Sus scrofa: one gene and its partner. The protein of the gene in region 1 purifies or fractionates together with the protein of each later gene. This does not show direct contact. Links are inferred from orthologs where the notes say so. Each region holds a gene or a part of one and is shown in the gene's direction. Other genes may lie near its edges.

Region 1 (4,046 bases):
GAATCAGAGCTGTAGCCGCCGGCTTATGCCAGAGCCACAACAACTCGGGATCCGAGCTGCATCTGCGACCTACACCACAGCTCACAGCAACACCGGATCCTTAATCCACTGAGCAAGGCCAGGGATCGAACCCGCAACCTCATGGTCCCTAGCCGGATTCATTAACCACTGAGCCATGACGGGAACTCCGAACCTGTGCTTTTTTGTCTAGTTCCAGAAAAAAAAGAAAAAAACCCCAGCCAATCCCATATCGAGTTACTCTTTCTGCGGTTAGTCTGTCCGTGGGAATCAATAAAAGGTCCTTGTCATTGCAAGTAAAACACATAAGCGAACTAGGCCTCTGTAGTCATGCCGGGTGGTTTTGCCGTGTCTGCACGTTGAGCATCCCAGAAACCAAACAAATCCACCTCCGTGCCTGTCTCGTGAGACTGAGTTAAAACACCAAAGACTCAGGAGTTGGGAGGAAGAAAGGAGACACGGTCAGACCCAGAAGTGGTGGCAGTGCAGGTGCTGGGGAACCTCGGGGGCAGGTGAGCGCTGCATCTCAGCCCTCGGCTTCCTCCTCTTTCCCAGAAAGGACACACGGCCTTTTCGGGGCTGGGGACGTGGGGGGGAAGCTCCGGCGTGAATACGGCGGAGCGTTTGTGGAGCAGCGTGGCAGGGCGGCCACTCCTCCCTGCAGCTGCTCCCAGCGCATCCCGCCGGATGAGTGCTCCTAGGAGTCACGCAGTGTAACCTTGATTTCAGGCCTTGGAAAAGGCAAAAGATGCGGGAAGAAAAGAGCGAGTGCTGGTGAGACAACGAGAACAAGTTGCAAGTCCAGAAAACATCAACTTGGACTTAACTTACTCGGTGAGTATCAAGGACCGGTTGGGGGGTTATTTTCGCTGGAATTTGTGGATTCCAGGAGCCCCCTTTTTTTTTTTTCCTTTTTAGGGCCGCTCCTGTGGCATGTGGAGGTTCCCAGCCCAGAGGCCGAATCGGACCTGTAGCCACTGGCACCACCAGATCCAAGCCGGGTCTGCCACCTCCATCACAGCTCATGGCCACACCGGATCCTTTAACCCACTGAGCGAGGCCAGGGATGGAACGCGGGTCCTCGTGGATCCCAGTTCGGTTCATTACTGCTACTCTACGATGGGAACTCCTGTAGTCAGGGTCTTGGCACACTTCGCCGCAACGGGAACTCCTGTGGAGTCACTTAGCAACATATGAAGTGCTTGTGAACCCACCATCCAGTGACGGCTGAGGAGTGCTAACGTGTACTGCTCAGGGTGATTGCTTTAATAAAAGATTTGGGTTTTGTGGGGCTTTTTAATTTTTTTTTTTCTTTTTAGGGCCACACCTCAATTTTTAGATATTTACTGTTTATGGCTAATATTTTAAAATTCCATAGGCTCTTTGGATTTGGGGATGGTGTACAGTGATCATTTTTTCCCTCTAGGAACATAATTTACTCTAACAATTTGAATTATAAATGTGTAGGGAGTCCCTGTTGTGGCTCAGTGGCAATGACCCCAACCAGTATCCATGAGGATGCAGGTCTGATCCCTGGCCTCACTCGGTGGGTTAAGGATCCACCGTTGCCGTGAGCTCTGGTGCAGGTCACAGATCTTGCATTACTGTGGCTGTGGCGTAGGCTGGTGGCTGCAGCTCCAACTTGACCCCTAGCCTGGGAACCTCCATATGCCTTGGGTGTGGCCCTTAAAAAAAAAAAAAAAAGACCAAAAAAATTACAAATGTGGATATGAAGGAATACTGTACAAACTAAAATTTAAGATATTTCCACACGATGTTTAGTTTATATCTACAAAGAGAATTTGGTCCACTCTCTTCCTTTTTCGTTTTATTACCAGCAGGATTAATAATACACATGTATGCTTTGCGGGTCTTCCTGAGTTTAGAGGAAAGCAGACGCATTCATTAGAAAGACTCCGTGGAAGACGAGGCGAGGGCAGAGGACAGCCTCGCTGTCTCCATCGTGTCGCGGCCGTGTTCACACGCGGGGCGCGTTTTCTGTCCTGCCCTTCCGGGCGAGCCGGGTGTCTTGACAGAGGCAGCCGACTTTTGCAGTGTTTTCATTTCTAGAAGGATCACAGGCACCGGGGGCTAAAATGATTGTTAGCTGTCACTTTGCGGTGTTTCTCGCGTAGGTTCTCTTCACCTTGGCCAGTCAGTATTCAGCGAATGAAATGTATGCCGAAGCGTTAAACACGTATCAAGTTATCGTGAAAAACAAGATGTTTAGCAATGCAGGTAGGTGTGTATATACAGTCAGTTTTTCCACTAACTCTGGTTCTTCTCTAGGGGTGATTTCTCACGTCCTCATTTTATGCTCTGTTATCATGAAATCATCAGTGCTCTAAGCAATCCGTATTTGTGGTAGAGGTGTCCTGCCTAGAGGCCCTGTGGTAATGAAAGTGCACACCGACGCGGAGGAGGAGACACAGCAGGCCTATGACACACTGCCCCGTAGCCAGTGGACAGCAGGTCATGTAGCGCATGGGACGAGCTGCGGCAACACCGTCGGACGTGTTTCCCTTGTAGGGTTGAGCCTCAGGAGGCTGTTGTTTGTGTTTAGCATTTATATTCTGTAAGGTTTTTGTTCTTTTTTTTTTTTTTTTTGGTCTTTTTGCCATTTCTTGGGCCATTTCCGCGGCATATGGAGGTTCCCAGGCCAGGGGTCGAATCGGAGCTGTAGCCACCGGCCTATGCCAGCGCCGTATAGCAACACGGGATCCAAGCCTCGTCTGCGACCTACACCGCAGCTCACGGCCGCGCCGGATCCTTAACCCCCTGAGCAAGGCCAGGGATCAAACCCGCAACCTCATGGTTCCTAGTCGGATTCGTTAACCACGGAGCCATGACAGAACTCCAGTTTTTGTTCTTTTTACAGCCACACCTGCGGCACGTGGAGGTTCCCAGGCTGGGGGTCCCATCAGAGCTGCAGCTGTCAGCCTGCACCGCAGCCACAGCAGTGCAGCTCCAAGCCGCATCTGTGACCTATGCCGCTTGCATCCGCGCTGGATCCCTAACCCACTGAGCGAGGCCAGGCATTGAACCTGCAACCTCATGGTTCCTGATCAGATAGGTTAAGCACTGAGCCACGACGGGGACTCCACATTTCCAGTTTTATGATGTAACCCTATTGCTTTCTAGCCGTATTTCCAGGAATCTGTCATAAGTTCCATTTCCTTGTAGAAGTTTCCTGTGCAGATATTTGAAAATAGTGTAACTATTTTAAAGTGAGAATTTTTAGTTAGTGTCTGAAACTTTATATCTTGAGAAGAACTTCAAAAAATATGAGTTAAGGTCATGTAAAATTTCTTAGGAAAAGTGAAAAAAAGGATATTATGTATTTATCATTATTTTTTTTAAACCAGGACGGTTGAAAGTGAATATGGGAAATATTTATTTAAAGCAAAGAAATTATTCCAAAGCCATTAAATTCTACCGAATGGCCTTAGATCAGATTCCAAGCGTCCATAAAGAAATGAGGTAAGTTTGTAAAATTTACGTGCTATTCTTCAGAAACAAGGTCATGGTCCTGACGTGTCGCCAGTGGGTTGACTGCTTGGAGGTGTCTCTTGGAGAAGTGCTCAGTGCGTGTCTTAGTCCGGTGTTTTCTCCCCTGTGACTGCTCGCGGGCGTTGTTTATATGATGCCAGGTTAAAAGTTAAAGGCATAGACCGTGATCAGTCGGAATAAAACCAAGCTCCTGGACCTGTACAGGGAATGACCCCGCAGGCCATTAGCGCCCAATCCAGTTTCCTGCCCGCACCAAGTCGAACAGCAGTCCCTGGACCATTCCAGAGTGCAAGGCTAGAAATTAAATATCCCCAAAAGAGGATGCTGGGATATTTTCATTCTTAAAATATTTCCAGCACAGAAACAGCGAGTTACCTTGTCGTCTGATAATAACTGTGGGAACGGAGGAGGTTTCCAGGGGATCTACTGGTCAAAATTTCTCGTAGGTTCAGTATGACACCTCTGTGAAAGTTAAGTTATTTGTATTGTTTTTGTGGTTTTTTTAGGTCTTTTGTCTT
Region 2 (4,741 bases), on another chromosome or scaffold:
CCCTACCTGCCTTCTCACCCATACGTAGCTCCTACTTCCCTCTTGGAACAGGCCGATCTCTCCTACGTTCTGACCCTGGACAGTTTTTTCCACTTGCCAACTCCAGAGTACCACACACAAAATCCAATCTCCACACCAAGGATCCTAACCCTCTCCCTTCCTCCACTCCCAGCTACCCTGCCCCCACCTCTCCAACCTCCCGCCCTACCCATCCTTCCAGGACCCTTCTGAAATGTGGCTCCCCCATCCCTCCGACCCAATCCCACCGTCACCCGGCTCCTTCCTTCCTAGACCATTCCACCCCCACCCACTCTCATCCCTATGCACTCCTGCTCTGTCCTTCACCATGTATTCGCCCCTTCCTCCCACTTCGCTGAGATTCCCTCTCCCAGGACCCCAATCTCTCCATCTTTTCCTTGTCTTCTGCCCTCAACCTTCAAGATCTCCTTTCTTCACGCCTCACTAAAGCCCAACTTCACAATCCGCGGCCCCAACTTTTCCTCCCTACCCCCAAGACCCCACCCCTTCTCCCATTCCAGTCCTAGACCCTTCCCTCTTGGCACCCCTCAATCCGATTCCCTCTTCCCCTCCTTCGCCAGCACTGCAATCCTCCACCTCGGTCGAAATTCCCACGCATGCCCCTCCTCAAATTCACCCAAGCTAATCCTTCTCCCTTCTCCCACCCAGGCCTGAACCCCAATCTTCACACGCCCTCATACACTCCCCCAGCACCCCAATTCTACCCTTAAACCCACCTCTGACACCCCTATATCCTCATCTCCACATCTTTCACCAACCACACCCCAGCTTCGTCCCTTTCGATCTCCCCCTCCCCCATCCCACCCCTCCCTCAAACCCCGCACCCGCCCCATTCTCAGCCCTGGGCTACGTGAGAGGCCCAGCCCGCGGTCGCCACCTACCTGTACCCCCGCCTGGGGCAGCCCGGCAGCTCCTCGGTGGCAGGTCCCTCCTCCCGCGGCGCGGCAGAGGGGGGAAGCGGCTCCGCGCCCCCGGCACAAAGCTGAGGAGGGTGGGACAGAGAGTGGGCGGGAGGAGGGAGGGGGCTGGGGGCGACCTGGCGCCTTGGGACCGCGGGGCCGGCGGGGGCGGAGGGAAGACTGGGCAGGGGAGGCGCGCTTGCGCGCGAGACCCGGCATGAGGGGCGGAGCCGGGCCTGGAGGCGGGACCGGGCCCCGGGCTGGCGACCTGAGGGCCTAGGGCTCGAGCCGGGAGAGGTGGGGACTGCGCGTGCGTGTTCGCACGAAGGCGGGTCTCTTGGGTCTCGCAGGCCCCTGGGATCAAGCTGAGCTGGGGGAGGGTAGGCAGCGCGTGCTCAGGGCTTACCTAGGGACAGGCCCTTGGGCGGGGCTGCGGAACTCAGCCCGCGAACCAAAGATCACGGGGGCGTGGCCTGGGGCGTGGCCTATGGGAGGGTGGAGCATCAGGCCGGGAGAAGAGCTGAGCGCTCTGGGGATCTCGAGGAGGCTGGGCGGGAGGGAGGCGGGGCTGGGGAATGGGGCGCGCAACGCAGGGTGGGGCGAGACGGGGCGGGGTCTGAGGGAGGGGTGGAGCATAGAGCCGGGAGTAGATTCTGCGCAGCAGCCAGCGAACTCCTAGGAGGCCGGCGGAGAGGGGAGAGGCGGAGTTGTGGGCAGGGCGGTAGAGAGAAACGAAGCTCGACTGTAAGCGCGTTTGTCGCTAACCGGAGGCCTAGGCGATCCGGGCTTTGTGGCTCGCCCGGCACCTTGGGAGGTGGGACCCTGGCTGGGCGAGGCCGACAGAAGGGGATGCTGGTGGAGGAGGGAGCGAGCGAGCGAGCGTGGCGGGGGTTGTGAGGGGACGCGCGGCGCGGAGGCGGATCGCCGGGGTCGCTGAGGCTTGGCTCGTGAGGGGACCGGGAAGGGGGAAGTCTGACGCAGGTCTCTTCGAAGTACCAGAGAACCAGCGCACGAACTTTTTCTAGGCCTGATAAAATGTTTTGACCCCCCCACACACAAAGGGAAAATCAATTCCAAGTCGAAATTATAAGTGTATGAAAATGAAACCTATCCACTGGAACGTAAGTTCATACTTCAGAATTATGTTTGACATAAGATGTGGGTTCATTTAAGATATTTTATCTAGTTTGGCGCCAGGAGTCCAAAGTTATGAATGTTCAGGGCCCATGGAGGTCTCGAAATGGCCTTGAACTGAAGAGAAGGGTTTGGGATGGAGGGGAAAATGTGGGGTCAGGGCTGATTGCCTTTCAAGTGATATGCCAAGCTATAGGCCCTGGCTGGCACTGGGGAGAGGGAGGATGGCGCTTCTCGAATTTACACACGTTCCCGGTGGATGATGTAATGGGACAGGGTTTGAGGAATCAAAGAGTTACCAGAAGCTAGTGGCTGGTCGGGGAGAAGGTGAACTGAAGACTTGGCGCAGAGAGGTTTGCGGAAAGAAAGGACATGCGAACTGGAGGTGAAAGGGTGGATAAATGGCACTGGGACAAGATAAGGCATCTAAGGCATCACCACCAGTCCAATTGAGAACCACTGAACTATAGGCTAAAGCCTACTCTCTTTACCTGACTTTCAAGTATTTGTATTATCTGCTCCTAATCTACCTTTCCTAGAATTCAAGTCATTCTAAAGGAACCCCAGTGCAAGAATTCTTTCTTTAGTTTCTTTCATAGGTTATTACCTTTTCTTGTACACTTCCAGGATTGGAAAAGATTAAAAATCTTCTCTTTGCTAGAAATTTCTTATATCTATGATGTCATCCAGCTTAAAATTCATGTTTGTTTGTTTATTTATTTTGCCCATGCCTGCAGCATGTGGAAGTCCCTAGGCCAGGAATCGAACCCATACCACAGCAGCAACCCAAGCTGCTGCAGTGACAATGCCAAATCTTCAATCCATGGCACCACAGAGAACTCTGGAATTCATATTTGTTGAGTGCATTTCTCCCTGTTATTATCATCAGTTATTAGTGAAAAATTCTAATACTTTTTACATTTGAAGACTTGTGATGTTAAAACTTGTAGTCACATTTCTCTCACTAAATTATCTCTCCTTGAAACAATATTCTTTCAACTTCCTCCATTTAATGTAGCTTATATATCATCATGAAATTTTTGCACTCCTCTGAACAATGTAAAGCCTGACAGTGTCTTACTTAAAATATGCTAATTGGAACCGAACAGAGTATTCTAGGTGTGGTTCACTATTAGCATGTAACATACTAAGTTACTAGTTTCATGGTTGTCCATCTTCCTTGACACTGAGCTTGAAGGCAAAAACCAAGCCTTGGTCACCATCTTTGTCTTAGATTTACTGTAGTCAAAGGTGACGACATAGTATCTTTGCATTACTAGTGCAGTGTCTGGCCCTTAGTTGGTTTTCAAAGATTTCGATAGAAGGTGGTTCCTTCTTAACTCCAATAATATAATCTAAAATAACATTCCTTTGCCTTATAGTGACTTTGCAATCAACTAATCCTCTATATTTTACACATAGAGATGAAGGATTGGCAAGGTTTTTCTCTAAAGGGCCAGATAATAGATATTTTAGGCTTTATGAGTCTGTCACAAACATTCAACTCTGTCACTATAGCACAAAAGTAGCCACAGACAATATATACATGAATGAGCATGGCCATTTCCAATAAACCTACTCATTGACACAAAGCTGCAAATTTCCTATCTCATATGATTTTCATGTGCCACAAAATACTATATTGATTTTGAAAAATATTTTAAAATGTAAAAAGCATTCTTAGCTGATGGGCCATACAAAAACAGGTGTCAGGCTAGATTTGACTTATAGGCAATAGTTTCCCAATCCCTGATCTAAACCGTTCTTCATGTGATTGATTTTTTTTTTTTTTTTTTTTTTTTTTTTGTCTGTTTTAGGACCACACCGGGGGCATATGGAGGTTCCCCGGCTAGGGGTCAAATCAGAGCTGTAACCGCTGGCCTACACCGCATTTGTAACCTGCACTACTCTCAGCAATGCCGGATCCTTAACCCACGGTTCGAGCCCAGGGAGTGAAACTCTGTCCTCATGAATACTAGTCAGATTCATTTCCACTGAGCCATGGTGGGAACTCCTGATTTTTTAAGTCTGAGTACAGGCCTTTACTGTTATCCTTATTCAGTATCTTAGTCATTGCAACCCATTTTTCTAGCTTGCTCAGTTCTTGTGTGCTAATTCTAGCATATTAGCTGATATCCCAGCTTTGTGTCATCTGCAAAACTGATAAAACAAACTTTTTCTATCCTTAATAATGAAAATGTTGAATGGGATAAGGATAAAGGTCTTCCACAGTTCATTTTGTCCCATTAATCATTATTCTTTGAGGATAGCCATTCCAAGAATTATAAACAATCTACCTCAAGTACTGCCTGTCACCTATCCCACATTTCTTCATCTAGTCCACAGGTTATCTGAGATGCTTTGAAATTTTCTTGAAGTGTTCAGAGCATTCAGAAGTAATAGGAAGTAACTCTATCAAACAAAAAGAAATATATAGATTTGGTATAACATGTACTAAAGTTACTGTTGCTTTCTAGTTTTACTACCTTCTTGTTTAGATTTTCAAGGACATGCTTTTAATGATGAAATTTAGCAATTTTAGAATTTTTGTTGAGAATTAACATCCAAGTACATCAATCTCTATTTCCAAGAATTCACCGTATTTTTTCTCTTCAAACTAAGAGTTAACAATGTTCAAGCAACAGCAGTTCTCTGGTATCAATAGTATT

Evidence for each region.
Region 2: the proteins of IFT88 (region 1) and HSPB11 purify together in Homo sapiens (affinity purification with mass spectrometry; 3 studies listed by BioGRID and IntAct, with this or other methods). This does not show direct contact. The link is inferred for Sus scrofa from reciprocal best matches to the Homo sapiens genes IFT88 and IFT25.

What each region holds. Positions count from the first base shown.
Region 1 is NC_010453.5:963,563-967,608, forward strand, and holds part of IFT88 (intraflagellar transport protein 88 homolog), read left to right. Parts: intron 1-747; coding exon 748-852; intron 853-2,153; coding exon 2,154-2,256; intron 2,257-3,383; coding exon 3,384-3,498; intron 3,499-4,046. UniProt on the Homo sapiens protein: Positively regulates primary cilium biogenesis. Also involved in autophagy since it is required for trafficking of ATG16L and the expansion of the autophagic compartment.
Region 2 is NC_010448.4:158,337,003-158,341,743, forward strand, and holds the start of HSPB11 (intraflagellar transport protein 25 homolog), read left to right. Parts: upstream 1-1,785; 5' UTR 1,786-2,032; coding exon 2,033-2,059; intron 2,060-4,741. UniProt on the Homo sapiens protein: Component of the IFT complex B required for sonic hedgehog/SHH signaling.